Linked DNA regions of Tamandua tetradactyla. The protein of the gene in region 1 purifies or fractionates together with the protein of each later gene. This does not show direct contact. Links are inferred from orthologs where the notes say so. Each region holds a gene or a part of one and is shown on either strand. Other genes may lie near its edges.

The links.
Region 2: the proteins of FBXL17 (region 1) and ZBTB18 purify together in Homo sapiens (co-immunoprecipitation; 3 studies listed by BioGRID and IntAct, with this or other methods). This does not show direct contact. The link is inferred for Tamandua tetradactyla from reciprocal best matches to the Homo sapiens genes FBXL17 and ZBTB18.
Region 3: the proteins of FBXL17 (region 1) and KLHL9 purify together in Homo sapiens (co-immunoprecipitation; 3 studies listed by BioGRID and IntAct, with this or other methods). This does not show direct contact. The link is inferred for Tamandua tetradactyla from reciprocal best matches to the Homo sapiens genes FBXL17 and KLHL9.
Region 4: the proteins of FBXL17 (region 1) and ZBTB10 purify together in Homo sapiens (affinity purification with western blotting; 3 studies listed by BioGRID and IntAct, with this or other methods). This does not show direct contact. The link is inferred for Tamandua tetradactyla from reciprocal best matches to the Homo sapiens genes FBXL17 and ZBTB10.

What each region holds. Positions count from the first base shown.
Region 1 is NC_135347.1:22,019,044-22,025,965, forward strand, and holds the start of FBXL17 (F-box/LRR-repeat protein 17), read left to right. Parts: upstream 1-3,901; 5' UTR 3,902-4,000; coding exon 4,001-4,993; intron 4,994-6,922. UniProt on the Homo sapiens protein: Substrate-recognition component of the SCF(FBXL17) E3 ubiquitin ligase complex, a key component of a quality control pathway required to ensure functional dimerization of BTB domain-containing proteins (dimerization quality control, DQC).
Region 2 is NC_135333.1:15,432,594-15,439,648, forward strand, and holds the start of ZBTB18 (zinc finger and BTB domain-containing protein 18), read left to right. Parts: upstream 1-4,036; 5' UTR 4,037-5,542; coding exon 5,543-5,555; intron 5,556-7,055.
Region 3 is NC_135328.1:75,144,099-75,151,820, forward strand, and holds KLHL9 (kelch-like protein 9), read left to right. Parts: upstream 1-4,702; 5' UTR 4,703-5,087; coding exon 5,088-7,100; 3' UTR 7,101-7,668; downstream 7,669-7,722.
Region 4 is NC_135332.1:124,292,405-124,299,407, forward strand, and holds the start of ZBTB10 (zinc finger and BTB domain-containing protein 10), read left to right. Parts: upstream 1-3,995; 5' UTR 3,996-4,029; coding exon 4,030-5,004; intron 5,005-7,003. UniProt on the Homo sapiens protein: May be involved in transcriptional regulation.

The DNA.
Region 1 (6,922 bases):
TACTTATAATGGTCCAATCTGAGTAACATTTAATTTTAGGGAACACTATCTACTCTTAACTTTAGAATTATTTAAAATTTGTTGGCATTTAATAAATACCTTTTTGGAAGCCACATTTCATTAGAAATGTAATTTTTCCAAAGTTTCTGGCCATATACTCTCTTTTCTTCAAATAACTAGGTCTGAAAGCAATGAAAACCTGAAAAAAATAATGTTTTCCCTACGGCATTAGTTCTTAAGTTTTAGAATGTGGATTACTTAGGAAGTTTATTTAAAATGCACATTCACTGGGCCCACGTCAGAAGTCTACTGTGCCTTTGGACCTTATTTTGAGAAACACTTCTGTGGAGTTTCTCTTTTCTTTTTCTTGTGGCTAATATTAAGAAGAATATTTATGATAAAACACTTTGAGGATGGGTAAGCAGTGAGTTACTTATTCATAATTTTAAACATATTTTGAATGACTTCTTCAAGTGAGTTTTCTTCTAAAAGTATATCCATCAGTTGTATACCAATTGTTCTGGTTTGCTAGCTGCCAGAATGTGATATGCCAGAAATGGAACAGCTTTTAAAGACGGAATTTAGTAAGTTGCAAGTTTATAGTTCTAAGGCCATGAAAATGTCCCAATTAAAGCAAGTCCATAAAAATGTCCAAATTAAGGTACCAACAAGAGGTTACCTTCACTCAAAGGCTGATAAAGTTCAGGGTTTCTCTCTCAACTAGAAAGACACATGGCTAACATGGTGAGGTCAGCTAGATTTCTCTCCAGGCTTCTTGTTTCATAAAGCTTGTCCAGGGGTGTTTTCTTTTTTTATCTCCAAAGGTCTCTGGCTGCATGGGCTCTAGTTGTTCTCCTGGCTCTGTTGTGGCTCTCTTCCTCTCTCCAAAATGCTTCCTCTTTTAAAGGATTCCAGTAAACTGATCAAGACACATCTCCCTCCAATCAAAGGTTAGTAGCCACAATTGGATGTGTCACATGCCCACAGAGATACTCTCATCAAGTTTCCAACCTACAGTGCTGAATAGGGATTAAAAGAAAAGGTTGTCTCCACAAAATGGATTAGGATTAAAACATGGCTTTTCTAGAGTATATGGCTTTCAAACTGGCACACCAGTAATGTTATAAATGATGAGAATTTTTCCATGATGAGGTTTTAACAGTTATTCAGGGTGGTTTCTTGTTCTATCTTTTTTTAACTAACAAGAGTTAATGTGTATTTTATATAGAAATGCATTACAGATGTTTTGTGTTCTGCTTTTGCAATTTTTAAATGCCATACCGATCCTTTTTATATTTTATTATAGAAGTTTTCTCAAAATACTCACAAGGGGAATAAGGTGGTAGGCAGTGAGAATGGCTAGAATTTTGATGTTCTAAGAAAAAATTTATTTTGCATAAGCATGATATTTGTGGTCAGATCATTTTATATATATGTAGCCTGAATTGGATACCAGGTATTGTCCAGTACTAGTACATTTGCTTTTTAATTTTTTTTTTTTGTCATGTAGACTACTGCCTTTGTCATCATATTGAAACATGTATTTCTGTAGTTCAGTGTCTTCCTCCAACTTCATGCGGTTGTTGGCAGAATTCAGAAATCACTGGCCATCAGTGGGGACTATTTTTATCTCCTAGAGGTTACCTGCCATTTCCTGCCTGGTGACTCTCTCTGCAACATAGGAGTTTCCTTCTTGGAAGCCAACAAGAAAGTATATCTGCTGCTGCTTTGAATTTCTCTGAGATCTCCCTGGCTCTGACTTCTAGATTTTCTTTCAAAGACTCACCTGATTAGGTCAGGCCCAATCATGGGAATGATGTCCCATCATATTCATAGATCTTTCCCAGGCTTATGGGTGGTGGATTATGTAGGATGGGTGTATCTGAAGTGAGAATCTTGACAGTCATTTTAGAATTCTGCCTGCTACAATGGTAGACATTTCATTAACTTATTTTATAAAGTTTATGAAACATATTTTTCATTATTAAAATAATACATAGCGACTATAGGCATTTATAAAACATACTAGAGAGTTAAAATGAAACATAAATTTGTACCACCATATCAACAACACCACACTTAAGTGGTTTTCCCTTTTTTTTCCCCCATGAAAAGGCTTGGAATCCCCCACCCCCACCCGTCCCCTTTGTTTAGCCTGGTAGAGATGGCAAAGTCCTCAGGCAGGGGGACTGCCCCACATTTCTTTCCACCTATCACCCCCTTGTGGAGTTTGGGACACTGGAAGGCTGCCCCTACAGGCAGAAAGGGGCGGTTAAGGGGGTAGATTCCTGAGTGTGACAGACCTAAAATAAAAGTCATTCATGACAGAGACTGGTATTAGCAAAGGTTTGATGGGATGTTTTTAAAACCCCTGCGACTTGTCTTTCATCCTTCAACAGGTAACCGGCTCCACTTAAAGGGAAATTGAAACCATCCGAAAGGAATACTTGCAACTTCCGTGCCACAAACTTCCAAACATCGGTATTCTTTATCTATCCTTTCCTCATTCCCTCCAATCACAATGAGGAAGGTACCCCTCCTAAAGCATTCCAGATTCCATCTTCTCAGGGAATTTACTGTTTTTTTCTTTTCATCCCCTTATTCCTTCCTTATACTGGCTCATTCCCATCCCATACTTAAGCATCCTCAAATTTCTTCCTTGTGAAAGCTAACCACCCTCCAACGCCATGTACCACTGTTTTTTATTCTCTGCTCTCATTATAGTCAAATCTTCTAAAGGGTTGTTTGTCTGCAAACTCTTATTACTTCTTTCTCACCCAGGTCACCAAGTACTGCCTGGGGCAGTGTGTCCTATAGTAGGCACTGCACAATCATTTTTTAAAGTATATGATGGATGGATGTACAGGATTCTGAGGGTACAGACAATAAATTCATGTATGGCTTCATATATAGTAGACTGGGATGCTGTTTGACTTACTGAGTTGAGAAATTATCTTCCTATTGTGATGTCTTTGATATACGACTTCATTTTGAAATAAAGTTATGGAAAGTCAGCATTATGCCACAAGCAACAAGTATGAAAACAAGTGGGGAAACAATGGTGCCGCATAACCAATCCGTTCCCACATAAGGACATGGGACCGCATCACCCAAGGGCCGCGCGTCCCCCACCCCATCCGAGGGGTAGCCCGAGCCCAGTCTGTGCCTAGATCGGCCCTTCCGGCTGGACTCCTGTTTACAGCACTTGGCCTCGGTCTCGGAGTGCAGGGGAGAGCCGAGCGGCTCTTGGCCAATGGCAGCTCTTGAACTTACACCTCTAGACGTCAGCGCGGCAGTGTAAACGGATGTCACACAGCTGGCTCGGAAGCGTCTCCTCCCGCTCCAGAAAAGGGGGCGGGGGCGCAACGGCCTCCACGAAACCTTGGGCTCCGGAAGGGAATAAGGCGCGCTGCACCCCGCGAGCCCCAAGCCCTAGCGGGCCAGCATCCTCTCTGCAGTCCCCCGCCTGGCGGTAGTCCCGGGTGAGCTGCCTGAAGCCCGCGTCCCCGCCTCCAGCGCGCCGCCGCGGCCGACTCCGCCCCCTTTCAGCGCGGGCCGCGCGCTCCCGCAGAGCCCAGCCGCGTCGCGAGTGCGCGCACTGCCGGCGGAGCCGCAGTTAAAATGGTCCGAAGGGGACCCGGCGCTCCCCCGGCCACGGCGCTGACTGACTGAGCCGGCAGGCCGGGCCCGGACTCGGACTGGTCGCATAGCCGGCAGGCTTTCTCCTTCTCTCGCGTCCCCAAAGCTCTCTCCCGTCGTTTTCCCGGCTTTTCTGGGCAAAGCATGTAGCCCCCGTCGGGCACCCAGGCAGCTCGCAGCCGACGCCCACCCCCCACCGTCGCGTGTGTGCCTGTGTGTGCGTGTGTGCGTGTGCGCAGAGCGGGCGACCCCGCCGCGGGCCCGGGGCCGAGCCAGCGAGCGGCCTGTCCCGCCGCCGGGAGCCCGCCTCTCTGGGCCTCCCTCCGTCCCCGTCCCTATCCCCGTCCTCGGGGCCTTCTATATGGGCCACCTTCTCTCGAAGGAGCCGCGTAACCGCCCAAGCCAGAAGAGGCCTCGCTGTTGCAGCTGGTGCCGCCGCCGCCGCCCTCTCCTCAGGCTGCCCCGCCGGTCCCCGGCCAAGGCGCCCCCTCAGCCGGCGGCGCCCCAGAGCCGGGACTGCTTTTTCCGCGGGCCCTGCATGCTCTGCTTCATCGTGCACAGTCCCGGCGCGCCCGCCCCCGCCGGCCCAGAGGAGGAGCCGCCGCTCTCGCCGCCGCCGCCGCCGAGAGACGGGGCCTACGCCGCCGCCTCCTCGCAGCACCTGGCGAGGCGCTACGCGGCCCTGGCCGCCGAGGACTGCGCGGCCGCTGCCTGTCGCTTCCTGCTCTCTTCCGCCGCCGCCGCTGCCGCCGCCGCCGCTTCGGCCTCTTCGCCCGCCTCTTGTTGCAAAGAGCTGGGGCTGGCCGCGGCCGCCGCCTGGGAGCAACAGGGCCGGAGCCTCTTCCTGGCCAGCGTGGGGCCTGTGCGCTTCCTGGGGCCGCCTGCCGCCGTGCACCTCTTCCGGGGGCCGTCGCCGCCGCCGCCCGAGCCCACCACATCTCCAGAGATGGTGTGCAAGCGGAAAGGGGCAGGGGTCCCTGCTTGCACCCCCTGCAAGCAGCCCCGCTGTGGCGGCGGGGGCTGCGGTGGCGGTGGCGGCGGAGGAGGGCCTGCGGGGGGAGGAGCCTCGCCGCCGCGGCCCCCCGACGCCGGCTGCTGCCAGAGCCCGGAGCAGCCCCCGCAGCAGCTCTGTCCCCCGCCTTCCTCTCCCACTTCGGAAGGTGCCTCCATAGAGGCCGGCGGGGACGCTGTCCGAGCTGGGGGCGCCGCCCCCTCGCCCGCCCAGCAACAGCAGCAGCATGAAGGCGGCGACGCGGACGGTCCGGAGTCCCGCGAAAACCCCTGCGACTGTTACCGGGAGCCGCCCCCCGAAATCCCAGACATTAACCAGCTGCCGCCATCCATTCTGCTCAAGGTGGGTGTGGGCCGCAAGGATGCTCGCTTCCCCAACTCCGGCCCCCGCCTCCAAGGTTTCTTCTCTCCTCCCCCTAAGCACGGGGGAGGGGGCTGCCCTGAGAGCCAGGGACATCCGATTGGGAATTCAGTAGGGAAGATGCTTACCGTCTGTTTTTTGAACTAGAAAAATGTGGAGTCTGCTGACTGTTATAACTTCCATCTATTACCCACAGTTTAAGGTTCGTCTCTTTTTAGATTCCAAGCCCAGTGGTTTAGAAACTATTTGTAGGCTTTTGTGAAATATTTTATCAATTGAGCAATTTATACTTACTGGATAGTGATTTTGTCTATTAGTATTTGAAAGCCTTCGAACGATACTTTTAGATTTAATAGCTGCTGGTTGAAATAACAGTTAACTTGTACTGAGCACTTACTATGATCAGGCACTGTGCCAGAAGCTTTGTATACATAATATCTCATTTAATTCTTCATATAACCCTGTGAAATAAATATTGTTAACGTCTTCATTTTATTCAAGAAGAAACTGGCATTTAAGTGCTATGGGCCAGACTTAACAGTAGTGAGGCAGGCAGAAGTGGTCTTTGCTCCGATGATGTTTACACTCTAGTGGGGCATGAAGACATTGAATGACTTGTACAGGGTCACACCCACAAAGTAAGGGGCGCATCTGGGTCTGGAACTAGGGAATTTAGGCCTGCCTGCCCTAAAAAACCCTGTTCTTCATTCTGTGTTGTATTGCATTACTTCTGTTTAATCCCTACATTAGAGCATACAGGTTCCTACAAAGTAAGGGCAAATGTATTTTTTTGTTGGGGATGGGTGTGTGGAGAAGAGATGGTTGTTGTGTGGTAGCTTTGCAGCACTTTCAACTAAGTGAATTTTGCAATTTTGTCAATGTTAGTGACAAAGTTATGAGATAGAATTTGTATGAAGTTATGATTAACTTAAGTTCTTTTGTCTCATTTTTTGCCTGCTGTCGCTCCTTCCTCTTCTCCCTTTCTGGAGCTTAAGAAACATAAGCCTCCCTTTTTCACTGTGGATAATACTTAAGGTTAGCCATAAATAACCTTGTTAAGAATTTGACTACTTTTAGTGATACTCAAGGTCACCAGTCACCAGTATACCTTCTTTGATTAGTCTTTTTTGCATATTTATAATTCCGTATGTTTGGATCTGTTCTACTGTGAACAGTAGAATTAGTCTTCTTGTGAAAATACAGCAAAAGTGAGGGGAACATGACAGCACTTCTGGAGGTATATTGAAGAGTAATTGCTTGTCATGTGGTGTGGGAAGGGGATGGATTTTAGGGCAGAGGGAACTTTCCTGATACCTCTAGATCATTGATAAATTTGGCACGAGGTTTAATTGCTGTCTTTTTATTTGGCTAAGTAAGACTGCTAAAAAACAAACCAAAACAAAAACGAGGCACTTTTTATTTAAATTATTTCATGCGGTAGAGAACATTTTAATTTTATTCCCCCCATAATCTTGCAATGTAGTAAAACCCTATAATAAATTTATTCTATCTGCTTCATTCTTCTTTTTCACATTTTTGCTGTAGACTGCTGAAAACTTGGCCTGAGGATCTTTTGACAATTACTTGCCCTTTTATGTTGGAGTATTTGGACATGTTAAGTAGATTTCCATTTCTTGTAATAGAAACTGACATAAAGATTCTCTAACAGATCTTGTGGTCCTTGTAGCATTCAGCATGAAGTGAGTGGGACAGCCTGGAATGAATTGAAATCAAGATTCTTTCCAAGTAGGATTTTGGGGGACAAGGCTTTTGGGGCAGAAGGCTGTATGCCTTGCTTTCTACTGTATTCCCTCCCCAAGTGCAGTACTCAGCATATGGTAGCACTCAATAAATATTAATGGGAAATGAATGGCCGAGTCTTGAGGGAGTCTGACCTAAGTGTATATACCA
Region 2 (7,055 bases), on another chromosome or scaffold:
CTAATTTGAGAAGCTTACTTGAAGGGGGTGTTTAGAATCTGACTTATTACCTCCCATGATGAATAAAGTACAGCAATTTTTCTGACGACATCTCTGATATATCTTACTTTGTTTATAATTTGTATGCTGATACCTTTCCAAAAAGGATTAAAAGTATCATTTGTACAGTAAGTTTATAATAAGACAGTTTAAAATAAAGTCAGAGGTTAGAGAATAAAACAAAGAAAATTGAAATGTAAGAGCAGCGAAAAAAAAAAGGGTACCAGGGACCAGGGATAGGCTGTACCAGTTGAACAGGAAACTTACCTCTAAGGTCTATATCCTCTATGTCATTTGGTTTCTTTGCTCCATTTTAAAAACATATTTATCCCATTTTTTTCCCAACTAAATTTAAACTCTGGAAAGAAGAGACCATGTCTTAAACTTTTTTGATGTCTTCCCGTATCTCTGCCCGAGTACCTTCCTAGCACAGAATAAATGCTCCACAAACATTTTTTTTTTTGATTCTGACGATGAATATATACTACACATATTTTCATAAATTTGTAAAAACTTTGACATAATTGAGGGGGACATACTTGCTTCCTTAAATATCCACTTAATATTTCTTGTCATACTATCAGTCCTCAAAATGGATTCTAGTAGTGATTGTTAGAAGTGAAAAACATGTCACACCTGTTGATGCACCAAGTTTCCCCCTATGTATCTCTGGGCTGTTATTTGACTTCTGAGTCTCATGGAAGCTTTTGTTGGAGTTGTGATTTTGCTCTGTATGCCAGAGTTGAATTTCTAAGCTTTTTGTGGATAATCTGCATGCTCTAATTTTCTCATGAAATTTACTGTTTAGTATTCTGACACTATCAATTACTTTGCCTATTCACCCAGAGGAGCTGTTTATTTTCATTATTTTAAATTTTAGTAGAGGAGAAACAGCTTTAAGAGTGTGAACCATTCTTTTTCTTCTCTTTTCCCTGACCTTGTTAGTGAAACACCTTGGCTTTTACAGTATATTTCATCTGTCAAGAATATTAATAGATTTACCTAACTTTAAACAGGTCAGGCTGAAATTGGGCCTTCTATCAAACCGAAAAGACCTAGAAGTCATCAAAAGCACAGCTACAACAGTATATTTCACAGAAAAAAACAATCAAAAAAACCAAGCTCTAGTTATAAGGTGGCCCTGGGGTCAGTGTGTAATCATGAGTGATAGATGTTTGAGGAAAGAGTGGTGACCATCACAACTGTTTCAAACAGGATATTCTAAAGGCCATTCAGTTCCAGGAATTTCATGTGCTCCTGTTGTTGCTTCATTAGCAATTCAACATGTTTGATTTGCCCAAACCATACTTTCAACCTATTTCAACCATCTGACCTGGAAAGCACGTTTTGCCCACTTGAAAGGTCTCCTGGCAAGTTGGTTAGCAGCAGGCCTACCAATCCTGCTTCAGATAGTAAAGAATAAACTCATTTGACAACTAATAGTGCACTGACCTCCTCCGCTTATGCAATTTTTTGCAACTTTTTGTTTGTTATCCAACTTTTTACTTGTAATTCTCGCTTCCTCAACAGGATTTCCAGTTTCTTGAAGGCAGACATTTCTACATTTGCTTGTGGCCGTGGTAGCAATGAACACATTTTTTTGCAGGGCAAGTACCGAATAAAATACGAGTTTATTTGAAGGAAGGCAAAAGAGACTGGTGTATCTCTGTCCTTGGCAATGTAAAGTTTGGGTTTGATAACGTGTACTAGGTAAATAGGGATGGAATCAGGTTAAGGCATCTACACGTATCAGTTTTACCGTAATTCTCTAAAACTTGGTAACCTAAGAATGTTTTTGCTTGTAATACTGTAAATGCACACGGGACGTGGGAGTTCTGTGGGAAATAGAGACGCTGTGCTGTGCTCTAAACGACCACGCAGGGGAAGAGCGCCCGGGAACGCGCCTCTCGAAGCCTCCAGCGTCCCGAGCGCCCCGACGGGCACCTGGAGACCATTCGCGGGTTCTGCTATCCCACGCTCTGGCAGGCGAGGACCTAGGCGTCGTCAGCAGCAGGAGGGGCGAAGGGGAGCACGGCTTAAAGCCGGACTCGAATCCTCCTTATTCCCCGCGTAACCGAGTGCACTCGAGACCAACACACTGGAAAGTGTACTTATGGTTGTCACGGCGCACACCGAAAGGTTCGCTCCGCAGCCCCAGAGCGCAGGGGCCTCCCGGCCTGGAAACAAGCCCCGCCCAGCGCAGCTGTCGCCACCGCCTGCGGGATCCTTTCACTTTCTCACGGCCAAGTCACCCAGAGGGGCGCCGCTGCCGCTGCCGCCGCACCCCGGACTCCGCCCCGCGCCGCTCCGCAACCTGCTCCCGACTGGCCCGGGCCCGCCCACCCCCAGCAGCTTCTGCTCTTGATTGGCAGCTGAGAGCGGCAGCTCCGGCTCGCCTCTCCCATTGGCAGGCACCGCTTGTCAGTCCGACGAATGCCTGCCGCCCCCCCACCTTCCCGAAAAGTCGCCCTCCTATTGGAAGAGACTACGGGATGGGGGTGGGCGGGGAGCGCCCGTCCAGCCGCGCTCGGTCAATCGCGGAAGCCCAGCCCGGGGAGGGAGGGAGGGGCAGGGGGAGGAGAGGGGCGGGCCGAGGGGGGGAACATCTGGCCGGCGCCGCCGCGTGCGTGCGTGGTGCGTCCTCCCGCCCCCTCCCCTCCGCCCCCCCCCGCTACCCCCCCACCCCCCGGCCCGGCGGCTCCGCGCTCGCTCCCTCGCTCGCTCCCTCGCTGTGTCTGGCAGGCTGCGGCCGCCGCTGGGCTGCTGCCATGGGGAGCCGCTGAGAGTGGGGCCCTCTTCGCTGCGCCGCGCTCCTCCGGCTGCCAGCGGGGGTGGGTGGGAGGGAGGGGCGGGGGGGAGCGGGCGACGGAGCCGGGATTGGGGGGTGGGGGGGCCGGGAGGGAGGGGGGCAGGAGGAGGAGGAGGAGGAAGCCCACCAAGTCCGGCGGCGGCGGAGGACGCGGAGGAGGCGGAGGACGCGGCGGCGGCGGGGACGCGGTGACTTAGGGCCGCTCCGTGTGAGTCCCGGCGCCGGCCCCCCCTGACCCGGCGCCCCCTCCGCGCCCCGGCCCTCTCGCTGACCGGGGACGCCAGTTGTGCAGCCTCGAGCCGGCGGGGCACTACGAGCGGAGGGCGGGCCGGGGGCGCCCCCAGCGAGTGGAGTTAGTTTGTGTGGTTGGAGCTGTCGGGGCGGCGGGGGGCGGTGCAGCTGCGGGAGGCCGGGGCGCGGGGACGGGGCGCTGCAGCTGCGGGGTCGGGGCGGGGTGCTGGCTCGCGGGCTCCGCGCCACCCCCCCAACCCCGGGCCGGTGCAGCTGCGGCGCGGGGCGGGCTCCCGGCCGGTGCAGCTGCGGTGGCGCCTCTCGGGTGCGGAGGGCGGCGGGCTGGGGGAGGGGGCTTGGGAGCCGCCGCAGCTGCAGTGGCGCCCGGGACGGACGCGGCTCCGGGGACCGGTGCAGCTGCAGCGGCGCCGGGGGGAGGGGGCCGCAGGGGGGGGCAGGGGCCTCTCTCGGGGCTGGTGCAGTTGCCCGGAGGCCCCGAGGGCTCGTGTGCTGAGACGTCGGGGAAGCGGTAGCAACCACTCTCCTCCCCCCCCCCGGCTTCTTCTTACGACTTTTCTTTTGTTGTTGCCGTGACCCGGGTCTGTTTTCTCGTCTGTTGTTTAAGGTGTTTTCCTGCTGCACCGGCTCTACGCCTTCCACCTCCTTCCCTGTGGTTTAACCTTCCTCTTTCCCCGGGGTGTTTTATGCACAGTGAACTATGTAAAGATTTGCCATTCTTTCCCCCTCCCCACGCAGCAGCCCGCCCCCCTCGCCCCCATCTCTTTGAAAAACAAAAACCGCACCTCACAAAACCTCTATGAACCCGCGGGAGCGAAACGTAAAGGAGGTGATTTGTGGAGTGGGAGTCACTGGCCCATTGCGGTGCTTGGGACTCATTAAACTGTCACTCACCCCCCCACCCCCCCACTCCACTGGGTAAATGGGGTGATTAATGTCTGATATATTGGACTGGGGCGAGGACATTTGTGGATAATAAGTGGTGTAGTTGAGAAGGAATTTATCTCCAAAGAATGTCTCTTAAAATAGGCCTTCATAATTATGTCATTCACCGCGAAGTTAGAGAAAGTTAGGTTTGTGACTTTGGGGGAAGCCGAGAAGGACAGGACAGAGTCGTTGGTTTTTGTTACTCTTTAACTTCGCCACGGTGTTCTAATGAGAACGGAGTGATTATCACCAAGACGGAGACATTGACGCCCTAGGCCCCAGTTCCTTTTCTACCCCTCACCCTTAGGAGAGTCTGCGGAGATGTGTTTGACATTCACAGATGTCGCAGCACCTTGCACGGCTGCGGACCGTCCTGCCAGGGTTACATTACAATGTCATCAGCCGTTAGAAAAGACCCACGAAGTCCAGCTCAGAAGTTTTCCAAACTTACTAGACCTGGGTTGTGTTTCACCCCCAACCCCCACCCCTTTTGAAAGATTTTCTTATTACTGTGAACATTGCAGAGTGACCCCCAAAAAAGATTGTTATGGGACACAGATCAAGAGAACGGCAAGGTTCTTCTGCTTTTTTTCTGAGTAGAAAGTCAGATCAGATAGCAGGTGCAGCAATCATTTTAAGTGATTGTAGCAGGTTGTATCAGTTTATTAATTTGTCATTGAACTGAAGCACTTTCCAGGATTTCAGAAAGTGCAGTTTCAGCTTGTTGATACTGAGAATTGAAATTTGCATTAACTGTAGCAGTGTGAGAAATTTTACTGAGCATGTAAGTGTAGATATGTAGTTAAATAAAAGTGAAATAAGGTAAGCCAGGCTGAAGTTATAGTTCTGAATAAGTCTTCCAACATCTCTGAGACATGTATACCATTATCTCAGCGGAAAAAAAAGTGCGGTACAAATGTTGCAACGGGACTGGAGATGTCAAATGGGTTGGTTTAAAAATATCCGTTAAGTTGCCTTTGAAACTAAATGTTGGAGTTGAATAAAAGTGAATCTAGATTTCCTGAATAGCACTGTGGCTTGAGTGTGCTGTCAGTATATAAGCTAGTCCACCAACTTAAGACAGAAGTGTTGCTATTCCATAAATACAGTAGAACTCCATATGCTGAGTTTTTCCAATTTCTTCTGTTAGAAAGTTTGGAAAAAAAAGGGAGACTTTGAAGTATTTTGTTTATACTAACAGAAGAGAAAAGTTCTCCTAAGAAAAAGCTGGTGGCAGGAGTGTAGAGGAGTAGCATATGGCATTAAAAGGAGCACAGCTGGAGGTAGCATTTCCATCTGAACATGATGTCAGAGCAGCTGACAGCCTGCCATCCCTCAGCCTTTTATTCTAACACACAGACAGGGAGTTAGTGTGTGCGGATCTGTGGTGGAGAAGGTATCTCATTCCTCTCTAACATCATCTCCACTTTGCATCTGTCTCTCTTAGTCTGCTTTTTTTCCACCGATGTAACAGACCGGGAGCCAGCAAGACTCAGAGGAAAGGACTTAATCAGGTTTATGTGTCCTAAAGGTAGGAGTAGCAATAGATTAGATTGAGCATATTTCTGTTTTGGTGTTTTGTTTATTTAATTTTAAAAAAATCACATTACTTTTCTAATCCAGTTTAGGCATAATGTATGAAATTGAGTATGAATTGAACATCCTACTGGAGTTGAAAATCTCGGGCTTGTTTAGTTTTAATGTTTTATCCCTTTTTACTTGAGTAACTTTTTAATACACAGAAATATTTCAAGTTTTGAAGTGTTAAAGGCTTTGAAATACTGCTTTTGGAGATCACGTTGGATTAATAGACTTTCCCCCCCGCCCCTGCTATTTAGATTCCTTTTGCTTTTGGGGTAGAAATAGTAAACTGGAATCAAGCATTCAAACTTATATGAGAGGATTCTTCTAGTTAAGAAGCTAGATTGTTGTGTAATTAATTCCACTGTGAAACTTTACTCTTCAAAACATTCGGCAGCACTACTGAAACATACAGCTGTAGTGCTTTTGAAACCGAAGGTTTTTTAAGAAGAAGAAGAAAAAACTTTTGTCCCCACGAGAATAGTTTGCCTGGTTTCCTCATTTCTCTTTCAAATATATATTTAAGAGATCTTTTATTTCAGCATAACAATAATTATTTGCAGGAGTTTTTGTGTTAGCGACTAATTTAGAACTTGTAGATTTGAGCTGCCTGAATTGGCCAGACAGCTGTAATCGCACTCCTCTATTCTTAATCTCTTTATCTGGGCAGCAGCTGCCATATGGCCACAGTCAGCTGGATCAGATGTTTATAAGCTTCCTTCTTCGTCCCTCTCTGTCCTCTCAGCCTCCTAATTTGATCAGGGCTACCTTGTGAGCTGCCCTCCAATCTTTATTTTTAGCCCTCTCAAGGATTAGGATTGATGTTAGCTGTGGGGCACTTAAAGTGATTGTATTGTAAATCTTGTTTTATTCTGGCAGGGGCATCCTGAGGAAGGTATTTGGGGTTAGAATGATAGTTTGAGATTATCCTGGGCAAAGTGTAGAAAAAGGGAAGTAATACCTGTACACTAAATTAATATATATCTATCCATCCCCCCAAATATACTTTCTGGGATGGATGGTGCAGAATTTTGAGTCTGGTCACAGGAAAGGAGAAGTTGTTTCTTTACTTTTAAAGAGTTTATCCATTGCGTTTGAATTTTGAACCTTTGTGTGTGTGTGTGTGTGTGTGTGTGTGTGTGTGTGTGTATACATATATATATCCTTGCCTTTCCTCTCTGTTTCACGCACCCTTCTCAGAAAATGAGGGCAACAGTGCATATTTGAAAGAACAGAATCTAATGGGAAAACAAAATATATCAAGTTATGTTGAAACAAAGTATTTTCTGTTGGCAGAATCTGAAGTAAGGCAGATAGGGAAAAAAAGTTTCTCTTTTTCTAGAAAGGTTTTTGGGGGGATGAGGGTGAAGGGGAGTGCAGTGAACCTAAAAAGCTTTTGCGTTTCATTTGAAAGTAGTATATCTGTATTTAAAAGTTTGAATTAATTTTA
Region 3 (7,722 bases), on another chromosome or scaffold:
AAGTTGTATGGTAGTTTACCATTTTAAGAAACTGCCAAAATTTTCCGAAGTGGCTGTACCATTTTCATTCCCACCAGTAGTGTATAAGAGTTTCACTTACTTCGCATCCACATCAACAGTTGGTATGGCAGACTTGTAAACTGCAACCATTCGAAAGTCCTAGTAGGGGTAGCTCATAGTTTAAAGTGGCACTTTTCTGATGACGATGTTGAGCATCTTTTCAGATGCTTATTTTGCCTTTCATAGAACTTCCTTGATAAAGTATCTCTTCAAATATTTTGTCAGTTTTTGGGAAGTTGTTTGTAATCTTACTTTAGAGTTGTAAAAGTTCTAAAGTTCTAAATCTAAGTACTTTTTTGAATAAATGTGTTTTCTAAGTCTGAGTCTTTTCATTTTTATAACAAAATTCAGTGAAAACATTTATAATTTTGACTAAGTACAACTTATCAGTTCTTTTGTGGATTTTTCTTTTTATATTATTTCTAAGAAATATTTGCCTTACCAGTGGTCACAATTATTTTTTTCTTTTTGACATCTTATGGTTCCAGGGTTTGTAATTAGGTCTGTGGCCCATTTGAGTTATTTTAGTAGATGGTATAAGGTACAAATAAGATTCTTCATTTTTTTGTATATGAATGTCTACTTGTACCAGCACTCTTTTTTAAAAAATATTACCCTTTTTTAATTGGATTGCCTTTACACCATAACTGAAAATCAATCAACAATATATGTGTGGCTCTATATCTACATTCTTGTCAGTTCCATTGATGGTCTAACTTTACTCCACAAATAAAGGAATCTGGAGGAAGAGAGGGACACATTGGTTGGTGGTGGTGACGAAATGATATGGTGAATGTCTGTTTTTCAGTCTTCAAGTTTCTTGCCAGAATTCAGCTGACTTTTGTCAGCTGGTCAGCTCCCAAGAGACAGGTGTTCTAGTTTCAAACTATTTTATAGAGAAAGACCTATAATATTCTTGTATAGGTCAATATTGAGAAAATGAAGGAATCATTTTTTTTTAATTTATTAAAGTGCTAACTCTAATAAGGGATTATCCTAGGTGCTTTAAAATGTACCTGCATCAGTTCTAGATGTTTTTTTAATCTCATTTTCTATTTGAGAGGACTGAAGCTCAGAGAACTTGAGATGTTTCCGAGCAGATTGGGGGTTCCAAGCAGAATCCCATGAGGTGAGTTAGGGAATGAGGCTCTAAGTTTTGTATTTTGGATTTCTGTGATTTTTATAATCTACTTTTTACTTGCAGAATTATTCTCCTTCTCCCTGGGCTACTGCTGCTGCTGTTGTGTGTGTGTGTGTGTGTGTGTGCATGTACGTATAAGTATAGCAATGCTTGAACATTTAGAAGAAACCTTGGTTTAAAGTTCTGCTTTTGCCATCTTCAGATTCTTAATAGTTTTATCTTTGAACTTGTGTTTTATGAGTAAGTTCATGGGAAAATGGAGCACGCAGATGAGCATATGGAGATGGTCAGACAGCAGTTCTTGCATGTCCTAGTCTTTGTCTACTATTGTCTTCTGGAAAGAGAATGCTTTGCTAAGTAAGTTTAGGGGAACACTAAAGATTATGGCTTCTTGCCCTGCTACTCACTTTAAATATACTCTTCTGGACCATCTCATACCAAGCTGGGGCATCAGCACATAAGCGTGGCATCTCAGCATGGTCAGCAAAAAGGAAACCTTGAGGCTGACAACTCTGCTGATCTGTTTTCTCTTCTCTGATGGTCCAAACATTATGGCACTGAGTAAGATAAGGTAGTTCCATAGTCAAGACAGGGGGTGGATCACCTGGCCTACAGACTGAACACACAAAGCTATAGGGAAACTGAGTCAACAAAGAGGGAATATGGCTAATTCTCTTTTGGCTAGGCTAAAAGAATGGATCTTGTGTTCACAGCTGGAGACTGTGATACAGTAATGGCAGGAGAGATCTCCTTGAAGACCAGATGCCACCAGCACATGTAAAAGGTCCATCATGGGGTGGGATGCTCACAATGTCAGAAGGATATCTGAAACATTCTCATAGTTTCAGACACTAGTAGGGAGAAGACGTAGAAGGAGGAGTCTCTGAGAGATGGAGCAATTTTATCCAAGATAAACTAAAAAGCATTTAAACAGAGCATTTGAAACATGGGATCAGACTAAATTTAAAATAAAATTGGGTCCTCTGCCTGGTGCTGTTGCACACCAGGCCAGGCTCTCAGCTGCTCAAGAACAGTTCTGGCTGCTGCAACCAGTGCATGTGCCCCCTCCAGATGGCACTTAGCAGGCGTTGCTCAGTTTCTGAATTAAGAGTACAGATAACCTGCCTACCAGCACCAGCTGTACAAAGAAACTCTGGTCAGTTTGTCTTGATGACAGGTTTGGCTTAGCTTTTCTGGGACGTGATAATACCCATGTTGAGGTTAGCATGGCCAGTGATGGATGTGAAGTACATCATTTTGATCTTAATGTAAAAATAGTTCACATTCTGTAGAGTTAGCACCTTTGGTATCTCTGCCTGTCCATGGGCTGCCCATCCTGCTGTTGCTGCCCTGAAACACCAGAAAACTGGGAACCATCTTGAAGAAATTTAGGCATCACAAGATTGATATTCTCAGGACAGATCTGGAAAGTGCAGAATAGAATGTTTTGGGAAATCTTTATTTTAGAAGATGACCTTGAACAGATTGGACAGCTCATCTTCGAGATCCATCTCCACTGGCCCAGGTTCAAGGTCAGTGGTAGGGACAGCAGTGTCATGTGCTTTTGGTACAGACTCCTCTAAAAGTTGGAACAATAGGATGTGCCAGGCTTTTTCACAGTTATAAAGACATTTAAACCTCAGCTATTCCTGAAGAAGACATTTTTAATGCAAGTAGTAGTTATAGTCTGAGTTGGGTGAATATGAGATGGAAATAGAATGTGGGGGACACATCAAGAACCCAAGGAGATATTTGCAGAGTGGAGCATGTCTTTGGTTCTAATTGTCTGTTTAGTTGCCTAGTCTCCCACCAGCCTGCTGCCTTCTCACGGCAGGGATTATGTTATCACCTCTGTTGTGCATATAGCCTGGTGTCTGGCATGTGGTAGGAGCACAGTAAATACTTGTGGAAGGGATAAACATGGGAAATGCTGAGAGAGTCGAAACCGCTTACCCACACCCAAGCTCTTTGCCTTTTTGCTTTTGAATTGGAATTACTGTACCAAAACATGTTTCTAAAATTGGAACTACTGTACTCTAAGAAATACTCTATTTGTGAAGTCCATTTGTAAAGCCAACATCAATCTCAGTCTCTTCAATAATGATCATAATTTTTATACCATGAAAGCATTGTAGCATAGCAGTAAAGAGCAGAGGCCCTAGAATCAGACAATATGAGTTTGGATCCCAGCTCTCCCATTTCACAGTTGGAAATTAACCTTCTTTTCCCCTCAATCTTCTCATTTTAAAAATGGAAATAAATTTTTCCTGTAAAATTGTTGTGAGAATATGTAAAGCATGTAAAACGCCTGGAATTTAATAAGTCCTGAATATTTTTCTTTGACTATTTTATAATTGGAAATCTCTTTTGAAATTGCCATATCTTTAGTGACTAATTAAGTTGATTTTTTCTTTTTCTTTTTTTTTGCATGGGCAGGAACCGGGAATTAAACCCGGGTCTCCAGCATGGCAGGAGAGAATTCTGCCGCCGAGCCACCATCCCACCGCCCTAAGTTGATTTTTTAAAATCTATTAACCATTTGTCTACTGACATTAAAAGAGCATAATTTCATGTTGTGGAAAATGTTGGAAGAAATAGTGTCAACGTGTTCATTCATTTGTATGCCAAAATTTTAACTTACAGTCACGTATAGAAATGCAAATTAATAAAATACCATAAAGGCAAAAATCGGCGGCGTGGGGGGGGATGCACACTCCAATGTTGCTGGAAACAATAATTTGGAAAGATTCATTATGTCTTCAACTAATATCCTACTGTTAGGATTTATCCAAAACCAGGGGAAAGTTTTGAGCCCAGATTCTGTAAGTTTATTACAGATTCTATACAATGCACAAGAATGTATAGACCCAGAAACAAATATTAGGCAAAGCTAACAATAGCATATAATTGTTGGAAAATTGTGTAGCCATTTAAGAAGTTGAGAATGAAAAACAAAAGCATGAAAACATGATGGAATTGGGAGCGAAAAACTCGATATATTATTTACATAGTATGGGGACAATTTAGTTTTCAGACAGGCAAATTATATGTGTTTTAAATGATTTAAACCCGAAAATATGAACAAAATTATAACTGAAGTGGCAGTTAAATTGTTTGGGATAAGAATTACAAAAGTGTTTTATAAAGAAAAAATATTTAAGCCTCCTCTTCCCCAACCCCTCCTCTACGAGGTTTCCTTTCAATTTACCGGAGAGCCGTGTTTCACTGTAATTAACACGACAGAAACCAGGAAGTGTAAACCTTAAAGAAAAAGTATGCATTTGGAGAGAGAGTTCGGATGCCGCGAGAGATGTATACGAAGTGCGGTATAATATGCCCGCCTTAATCGAGTCCCTCCAGAGGGGCATTTGCGGAGAGCCCGCTTCTCCCCGACGCCCTCCCCGCGTCCCGCGCACTTCCCCTCCCCTCCCCTCCCCCCCACGCCCGCCCACCGATGAGCTCAGACGGATGCGCAGCCGCAGTGGCTGCCGCGGCCGCTCCTAGCCCGGGGCATCCTGGGATTCTGCCTTTGCGGAAGGACTGGCTCAGTGTCCCGGATTAGGCCCGTGTTCCAGGCCCAGGCCGGGAATTCCAGGCTCTTGTTCGGAGATAGCCCCGCAGGCGCGGCGACGGTCTGGTGACAGCGGAGGGCGCAGCCGGCTGCACGCCGAGGTGCCCGGCCTCGCCGCTGAGCGAGCCGCGGAGCCTCTGTACGTGGCGGCGCCTCCCCCTTGGCCTGGAGCGGAACTGCTGCGGGAGCGGCTTCGAAGGCCGGACGAGGTGAACCGGGTCATTTAACTGCCGTCAGGTGATGAATCATCAGCATAATATTCAGATTTGAGGTCCGCATCCCTTTGTGGTCCTGCTACAAAGCAGTTTTCAGTGGATGACTGACAGAAGTGTCCTGAGGGGCGCCACAGTGACTGTTCTTGATAAAGAAAGAGAGCTCTCCCGTTTCTTGGGAGACAATCTTGATTCCTTTAAAACGTTGAGGTTACTGCCTCTTTCCGGGAGACATCTCTCTGTGCAAGAAGGCGGCTTTCACATGAAAGTGTCACTTGGTAACAGCGAAATGGGTGTTTCTGCCCATTTGCAGCCTTGCAAGCCAGGAACCACACGGTTTTTTACCAGCAATACGCACAGTTCAGTGGTATTGCAAGGTTTTGATCAACTTAGAATAGAAGGATTACTTTGTGATGTGACCCTGATACCAGGTGATGGAGATGAAATCTTTCCTGTTCACAGAGCTATGATGGCGTCTGCTAGTGATTATTTCAAGGCGATGTTCACAGGTGGAATGAAAGAACAGGATTTAATGTGCATCAAGCTTCATGGCGTGAACAAGGTTGGTCTGAAGAAAATCATTGATTTTATTTATACTGCAAAACTTTCTCTTAATATGGACAATCTTCAGGACACACTTGAAGCTGCCAGTTTTTTACAGATTTTACCTGTTTTGGACTTCTGCAAAGTATTTCTTATATCAGGGGTCTCTTTAGATAACTGTGTTGAAGTTGGACGAATTGCTAACACCTACAATCTTATAGAAGTGGATAAATATGTTAATAACTTCATCCTTAAGAATTTTCCAGCATTATTGAGTACTGGAGAATTCCTAAAGCTCCCATTTGAACGGCTTGCCTTTGTGCTTTCCAGTAATAGTCTGAAGCACTGTACTGAACTTGAACTCTTCAAGGCTGCTTGCCGCTGGCTAAGGTTGGAAGACCCTCGGATGGATTATGCTGCAAAATTGATGAAGAACATCCGATTTCCACTGATGACACCACAGGACCTCATCAATTATGTGCAGACAGTAGATTTCATGAGGACGGACAATACCTGTGTGAATTTGCTTTTGGAAGCTAGCAATTACCAAATGATGCCATATATGCAGCCAGTAATGCAGTCAGACAGAACTGCCATTCGATCTGATTCAACTCACTTGGTTACATTAGGAGGAGTGTTGAGACAGCAGCTGGTTGTCAGTAAAGAATTACGAATGTATGATGAAAGGGCACAAGAGTGGAGATCTTTAGCCCCCATGGATGCTCCTCGTTACCAGCATGGCATTGCTGTCATTGGAAACTTCCTTTATGTAGTTGGTGGTCAAAGCAATTATGATACCAAAGGAAAAACTGCTGTCGATACAGTTTTCAGATTTGATCCTCGGTATAATAAATGGATGCAAGTTGCATCATTAAATGAGAAGCGCACATTTTTCCACTTGAGTGCCCTCAAAGGGCATTTGTATGCAGTTGGTGGGCGCAGTGCAGCTGGTGAACTGGCTACAGTTGAATGTTACAACCCAAGAATGAATGAGTGGAGCTATGTTGCAAAAATGAGTGAACCTCACTATGGCCATGCTGGAACAGTGTATGGAGGCTTAATGTATATTTCAGGAGGTATTACACATGACACTTTCCAAAATGAGCTCATGTGTTTTGACCCAGATACCGACAAATGGACACAGAAGGCTCCGATGACTACAGTCAGAGGTCTGCATTGCATGTGTACAGTTGGAGACAAGCTCTATGTCATTGGTGGCAATCACTTCAGAGGGACAAGTGATTATGATGATGTACTAAGCTGTGAATACTATTCACCAACTCTTGACCAGTGGACACCAATTGCTGCTATGTTAAGAGGTCAGAGTGATGTTGGAGTTGCTGTCTTTGAAAATAAAATCTATGTCGTTGGTGGATATTCTTGGAATAATCGATGTATGGTAGAGATTGTCCAAAAATATGACCCTGAAAAAGATGAATGGCACAAAGTTTTTGACCTTCCAGAGTCACTTGGTGGCATTCGAGCTTGTACCCTCACAGTTTTTCCACCTGAAGAAAACCCTGGGTCACCGTCTAGAGAATCACCTCTTTCTGCACCTACAGATCATTCCTAGGAGTAAGGTGTAATACTTTTGCAATGGATCATGGGTGATCTCATATTTCTTCTTTGGTTGTATCTCTTCTTACAGTGATTGGTACAGTTATAAGATAAAAAGGTAACTGATGTTCTCTGTGTTGTTTGTCTTAGTATATGTAGGAAATGATTAACAAGTGTATTCTGAAAATGTATTCAGTGTAGCCAGCTGTTTTAACAAATGTAAAGAGATGTGTTTAGAATGTTTAGACGCCTTTTTTGTTGTGCTGTATAAATCAAATCGGAGGTTATTGCAGTAAATGAATGATTATGTGCATTATGTATCAAATTTGAAAGTTTTCTTTTCATCTTTGACTGCAAAATATCAAGGGAGGCAGACTCTGCAACTGAAAATAAGCAAAAGGTTGCCAAGTATTTTTAGCTACCTCCCTCTTTTCAAGGAGTTTTGCCATACTTTATCAAATCACCAGATTGTGTGGGCACATTCAGACTATGTGAAGTTTCTCAGCAGACAAAAGAAATAGTAAATTAAAAAAAAAAACAAAGCAGTTTAGCTCTAAATCATGGATCTTGTATCTGTGGAGAGAGAGAAAGGTAGATGGGGGCTACAATATACTAAATTAACAACCAAATTTTGTCAT
Region 4 (7,003 bases), on another chromosome or scaffold:
TAGCTTGATACCTTTAAAGATTTTTTTTTTTACTTAACTGAAATAAAACAGAAGAAAATGTTGCTTGCCAAAACAGTTTGCAAGGGAAGGTATAGCAAATTGTTCAATAAATATTTACTAATTGTCTACTACTACATGGCAGGCTGGGGATGGCAGTGGGTAGGGTAAGGCATGTATTGAGTGTACAATGCATGGTCCCTATCCTCAAGTACTTCATTTTGGTGGATGACCCATGTGAATTCTACACACATCTGAAGAAGCCAAGTGTTTGTAGCAAGCTTCATCTACTCAGGCAGTTACAGACAGTCACGCTCAACTATGAAAGATGAACTGAATCAGGTATAGGACATTGGCCCCATCGCACAGTTAAGGTGGGCTGGTATCAGTTTTACATTCTCAAATGAAATCTGGGGACAAATTGGTTGGGGATGCCCCATTCTTGAGGGGTTCCCCTGGTAAGAATAAGGGGGAATTCCCTTAAATATGGTAGAACCCCAACAGCAAATACAGGATTTAGAGTATAGAACAGATCCCTGCTTGCTAGTAGGAGACTAGAAGGTGTGGGGGAATTTAAAAAAACTCCATTTACAGAGTAGGAGATCCCCTTTTGCTACTTAAAGTTCCCTTGGTATAGGGTATTCTGTGAGATTGCCATTACTATCCCTGTGATCTTTGGTTCTGATTCGATCTTCCCTCAGGGTTTAGAGAAGAAAACTCATACACATGCACACACATAAATATATAAACCCATATACATATATATACATATACATACAACACTGTTTGGCTGTTAAATAGTTCATTGGTCCTAGATTTCCACAATTTTAGGCCATTTGTTTATACCATTTGAAACTGGTGTCATTCTTTCCTAATTAGTCCAAGCTTAAACCTAATTCCAGACAGAAGACAATGGGGATCTTATAAAATATAAGACAAGATAAATGTCTGGGAAATTTATCACTCCTGATACAATTAGCAGCATTATGGATTCAAAACATTTTTGGTGATTCTGGAACTAACAGAAAGAACAAATAATACAAATAGCCTAAACTTACAAAATATGTATTAGGCATAAAAGATGAATAGATGTAAAGATTTGAACTTAACCGTTTTATAACGGATATAAACTTTAATGTTGAAGAAAAATTCTTAAATCCATTTTCAGTTCCTAACACTTCCTCAAACCTAGATAGGTAATTAACTTCAGTAATTTTTCCCTTTTTACAGGGGAGAGGGTTGTTATGGTTAAAATATAATAGATAATCCATTTCCATGCAAAGTGCCTGGAATTATAAAACAAAACAAGTGACTGAAGGACAAAGCATGATATTATTCGTTCCTGTATTACATGGAAGCACATATTACATACAGTCAAGTGGATATAATCTCACAACTGCAGGTCACAAACTGGGTCAAGGTCACAGGTTCCACTGTCGTAAACTTTCATATAAATAAAACAAAGCAAGACAAAACAACCAACCACAAAACGTACCACCCTGAGGACCTTTTATAATTTCATGCTCTTGATTACCAGTGGCCAGCAGACAACGTGGATGGCTCAGATGAGTGCTATGTGATCATTCTGGGAAAACAACTCAAAGCCAAAATCTTTGTATGGCAGGTTAGTAATGCTATTCTTTTTATTTTTTTAGTGTTAATCTTTACATTACAATTACGTTTACTCTATAAGGTAGAACTTATGTTTTTTTGTTTGATCTACAACACTGCTCATTTATAAAGATGCTAAAAGTACAGTGAATTAGGTGGGTTCTGCTTTGAATACATCTATGCAATCACTAATATTCATGAGTTTGGATGTGAATGCCTGTGTTTAGCCCATTAAAGAATATTAATATAAATGGTAGTTCATAATATATTTGGGAAAATTTTTAATTAATCTTCTAAAACACATATTTCACAGCACATAGTCAAAGTCTTTAAAAGACAATATACAATATTGTTATTTTTAAAATGGAAAAAGAATAATAAATATATGCTTATGTTCTTGAAATCAAGAAACATAAAACTAGAAGGCCTAAAAACTGTAACATAAGCTCTGTTTAAAACACATAACTTTAAGTGAACAATGTAGAAATTTTACAGCCCCAAGAACAGCCCCTCCCACTAGATACAACTGTAAAGAGTTCATAAGTATTCCTCAGTTTTTTCTATGCACACCTTAATGTACTACTATTACTAAATTTAAAAATATACCTTACTATATAAACATGATTTTTCATCCTCAACAATGTATCCTGGATGCATTTTAGTTTTTCTATTCAACTTTTAATAAATATATTCTTAAAAGAGTAAAAAGCCCCTCCATAGTTTGAGAACATCTTTTTTTTACCTGAAAGGTTTGAAAAAAAAAATTAAGACATTTCACGTTGTAAAATAGTAAAAGGAGCCTAAATACTTGAACATTTACTAAATTTAGCATAGTAAGGAATTTAAAAAATTCCAGCTCAATCTGTTCTTTTAGGGTCTCTAAATTCCACATGCAATGTAAACAGTTAAAAAACAAAAAACACCAAAACTCTTAAAAGTTCATTCTTGTCTTAAAACACCATCTTCCGAGCTGCAAAAGTCCGTATAAGCAGACTCCTCCCCGCTCCTGGGGAAAACCCTGCCTAATATTTATAACGTTATGACATACTGTAATACTCACAAGGTGGTTGTAGAAGTATAAACACGACTAGAGTTATCTGATTGGCTGCTGGTGATGTAACACCCATGTCAATACTTCCCAGTGAACGCACGTGTTCGACCTTTTATTTAAATTTCCATTTCATCACAGCAATAAGACACTCGGGGCGGTGCATTTTCTGTGAAATGATTACAGCCTTGGGCCCGAGGTGCCGCCTCGCACACACAATGCATCAGAGAAGGAGGTGTCCATGGTTGCAACCTCCTCGCGTGAAAGGCACTCCTTGGTCCAGTCTTTGTGAAGGAACAAAATAAGTTCACTTCCTTGGGCACCACCACCCACCCCCCGAGCAAATGACAAGGCTGGAGCGCAGCGCCCACCGCACAATTATTTCCAAAGTCCCAGGTGAACTCGTGGCGAGAGAAGGAAAATGTGCGTCCCGGGCGCGGGTAGGTGCGTGTGGGCAGCGGGGAGGTGGCCAGACCCTGACACTCGCCAGCTGTTTGTCCACCGCGTAGCCCGCCCCGGCCGCACACGCCCGCCCCCTCCCCGAGACGAGACCCCCAGTCTGCCGCCCGGCCTTTTGTCCCCCGCGCGTCCGCCGACTTCCTTCCCCGCGGCCGCACCCCCGCCCCCAGGCCAGAGGCGCGGTCCAGCCCCTTTCCCGGTCCCCTGGCGCCCCCACCCCACCCCGGCCCAGCCCCAAGCCCAGCCCCCTCCCCCAGCCCGGCCCCCACCCTTTCCCCCTCCAGCGGTTACTGCTACCCCGGTGCATTGTGGGCTCACGGTCCGTTGTTCATTTGCCATTCGACCTCCGCCGGGGCCTGGTCGGACGGAAACGCTCCGCCGGCTTTATTGTCGGTTCGTTATGTGGCGGAGCCCAGCAGTTTAACGTGCCTCTTGCTCTCAGCTCCTCGGAAGCCGGCGGCGGCGTTGGGACCCCTCGGCGCGCCGGAGGAAGGATATCTGTTTTGGAGGGTCTGTGTGTGCGTGGGGATTTAAAGCGGGGGCAGCGGAGGGTCCCCCCTCACTCCGCCTCTCAACTTCGAAGGCCCCACGCGCCCCCGGCTAGCTCCTCACCTCCGCCGTCCGCCTCCCTTCTCCGCGCGGGACGCTGCGCCGAGCGCAGCAGGGCGGAGGTGGAGGACAAGGAGAGCGGCCGGAGGCGGCGGCCCGGCGGGCGGCGGCGGTGGCGGACTCGTGAGGCAGCCCCGGGAGCGAGAGCCAGCCAGCCGGGCGGGAGGGCGAGGCCGGGCCCCAGCCCCGCGAGACCCGAACGCCGGGGGCGGGGCGGGGGCGAAGCGGAGGGGGAGCTGCGGGGAGCGCGCGGGACGCGGCCCGAGGCCGGGCGCGAGCCGGGGCACCGGGCGGCGGCGCGCGCCATGTCGTTCAGTGAAATGAACCGCAGGACGCTGGCGTTCCGAGGAGGCGGGTTGGTCACCGCCAGCGGCGGCGGCAGTAGCAGTGGCTCCACGAACAATAACGCTGGCGGGGAGGCCTCGGCTTGGCCTCACCAGCCCCAGCCGCGACAGCCCCAGCCGCCAGCGCCTCAGCAGCTCAATGGGCGGGGGGCCGACGAGGAAGTGGAATTGGAGGGCCTGGAGCCCCAAGACCTGGAGGCCTCCGCCGGGGCGGCCGCCGCCACCGAGGAAACCAAGGAGTTGCTGCTCCCCCAAGACGCGGGCGGCCCCACCACGCTGGGCGGCGGTGGCGCGGGGGGCCCCCTGCTAGCGGAAAGGAACCGTCGGACTCTGGCCTTCCGAGGAGGCGGCGGCGGGGGTCTCGGCAACAATGGCAGCAGCCGCGGCCGCCCCGATACCTCGGCTTGGCCCCTGAGGCATTTCAACGGACGAGGGCCGGCGACTGTGGAACTCGAGCTGGACGCGCTGGAGGGGAAGGAGTTGATGCAGGACGGCGCGTCCCTGAGCGACAGCACCGAGGACGAGGAGGAGGGGGCGAGCCTGGGCGATGGCAGCGGGGCGGAAGGCGGCAGCTGCAGCAGCAGCAGGCGGTCGGGCGGCGATGGCGGGGACGAAGCGGAGGGCAGCGGTGTGGGAGCTGGCGAAGGGGAGACTGTCCAGCACTTCCCGCTCGCGCGGCCCAAGTCCCTAATGCAGAAGCTGCATTGCTCCTTCCAGAACTCCTGGCTCAAAGACTTTCCTTGGCTGCGGTATTCCAAGGATACTGGCCTTATGTCTTGCGGGTGGTGCCAAAAGACCCCTGAGGACGGGGGAAGCGGGGATCCTCCCCAAGTGGGGCATGACGAGCTTTCCCGAGGGACCCGCAACTACAAGAAAACCCTTCTGCTGAGGCACCACGTTTCTACCGAGCACAAACTCAATGAAGCCAACGCCCAGGTACCGTATATCCTGCTCTTACTTTTTCAGATCTCTAGGTAAAGGCTCATCAGCTAAAAACTCCATTTTCCTGGGTAAAGACGTCGTTCCATTTGGAAGAGATGCAGGGAGCTTAAGCGAGGGGGTGGGGAGGGGGGAGTTGAAAAAGCCTGGGAACAAGTTTTCAAAAGTTGTGTCTGTGGAGGGGGAACGGGCGGATGGTGGATGGCAATTTTCTAATCGTAACGCACGATTTATTTCTCCTGATTTTTGTATGACTCCGATTTCTTTGCTGTCTCTTCAGATTGAATGGAAAGAAAGTTTAAGAAAGTTGAGATTGTTGTTTTTAACCTAAAAGATTGACTTTGCGGTCAACAATTTATTAGCTGTGATTTTAGAGAAGCTGCCTTATGTTCAGTCTTTTAAGATTATATGTTGGTGGAAGTCAAATCGGGCAGCTTGCTGAAGAATGCAACACTTTCCTGAACCGTTGACTTTAACCCTTTCAGGAAAATATCCAACCGAAAAAAATTCTAACAGGTCAGGATAACGTTGATATGAGAGCACTGTGATGTGGAGGAAGTTATTTTGGAAAACGCTCCTTGCTCTTGTGAATAGTTTAATTAAAACCATCTCTGTTGAATTTCCTGGGGGAGGGGGGGGGCTTGCTGTTGTTAAACTAAAGCACTTTTATGTTGTCTCCATCTACCTGGATTTTTTTGTGCTGTGAGATTTTCTATAGCTCACCTTTTCAAAAAGTTGCTTATAAATGCAGTTTACGTTAAGTATTTTAAACTTAGCATTTAGAACGGTTTTAAGTGAAGTTACTTGTATCCATAGTTGATTTAGACTGATAGAATTTACCCACACTTCTTGAATAGTTAAGTCCTTAGTAATAAGTAAAGTAAGCTGTTCTTTAATTCTTAGGCTGTGTTTTAACATTTCAAGTTGAAAGATAGTTACCTAGTCTTATCATTTTGATATCACTTTTCAAAGCAGACAGATCTTGATCAGTCCTCAGATTTTAGGCAATCCATAATGGTAGGTGGAATTCATTCTTTCGTATTGGTAGGTAGTCAGATAGTCAGTTGGCTTTAGAAAACCCTTTCGGGTATTAGTCCTTCAGTGTTTTCTGAGTGATCTTGCCATTCAGCACACTTATACTGAAGTTAATTAGGCACCGTCCAATCGCATGGCACAAAAGTTTTTCAGAAGTTAGGCTTTACCTTTTAAAACATAGGGTTATATTTCCCAGTAGATAATGTAGCTTAGTTTTTGCACAAATTTCAGTTGCCTAAGCCCTAGAAGAAAGATCACCTTTATAATGCCCAGAAAGGTTAAGTAACATTGTCCTTACTTGTAGGGTCCTTGGGAATAACTGAGAGGAGAGCCAACAAGCAATAGTTTAACTGAAAAAGAATGAGTTTTAAAGTACATGTGGGTTCGGTCTCAGCTTTCTGCAATTACTAGACTTGCAAGCTTGGGCAGAATGGAATGAAATAGACTTAACATTTCCTTGTCTTCTGTGTGCCAGGCATGCATTTATTAACCTTACTCTGTAAGGTATTTTTTATTCCCATTTTACAGAAGAGGAATCTGAGGCCTTAAAGGTTAAGTAATTTATTCTTGCAGTTATTTAGTAAGATGGCAGATGTGGGGATTTGTGAAATCAAAAAGTTTACTTTTCCAAATAATGGTAGTTTATTTACAAAATTTTAAAAAGGCAATTAGAATGCATTTTCTTAATCTGTAGTGGAACCAGTTACTCCTTATCAGCATAGCCTCTCCCTGTGGGCAAACCTGAATGGAAATGCAAATTATAATTAGATAGCTGTTTAGTGAACCTGAAATCAAAGAAAGGGGAATCAGTTAGATAACCGTGAGGTAAATTTAACGTGATGTGTCCTACGGGCTTGTACTGGCATCGGGAAACTCAGTCCTAGGTGAAGCCTTTTCAAAACTTAATCTCTGAACTATCCCTCCTTTCCCCCTTTTATCCTTCAGACTCCCCTTTTTGTAG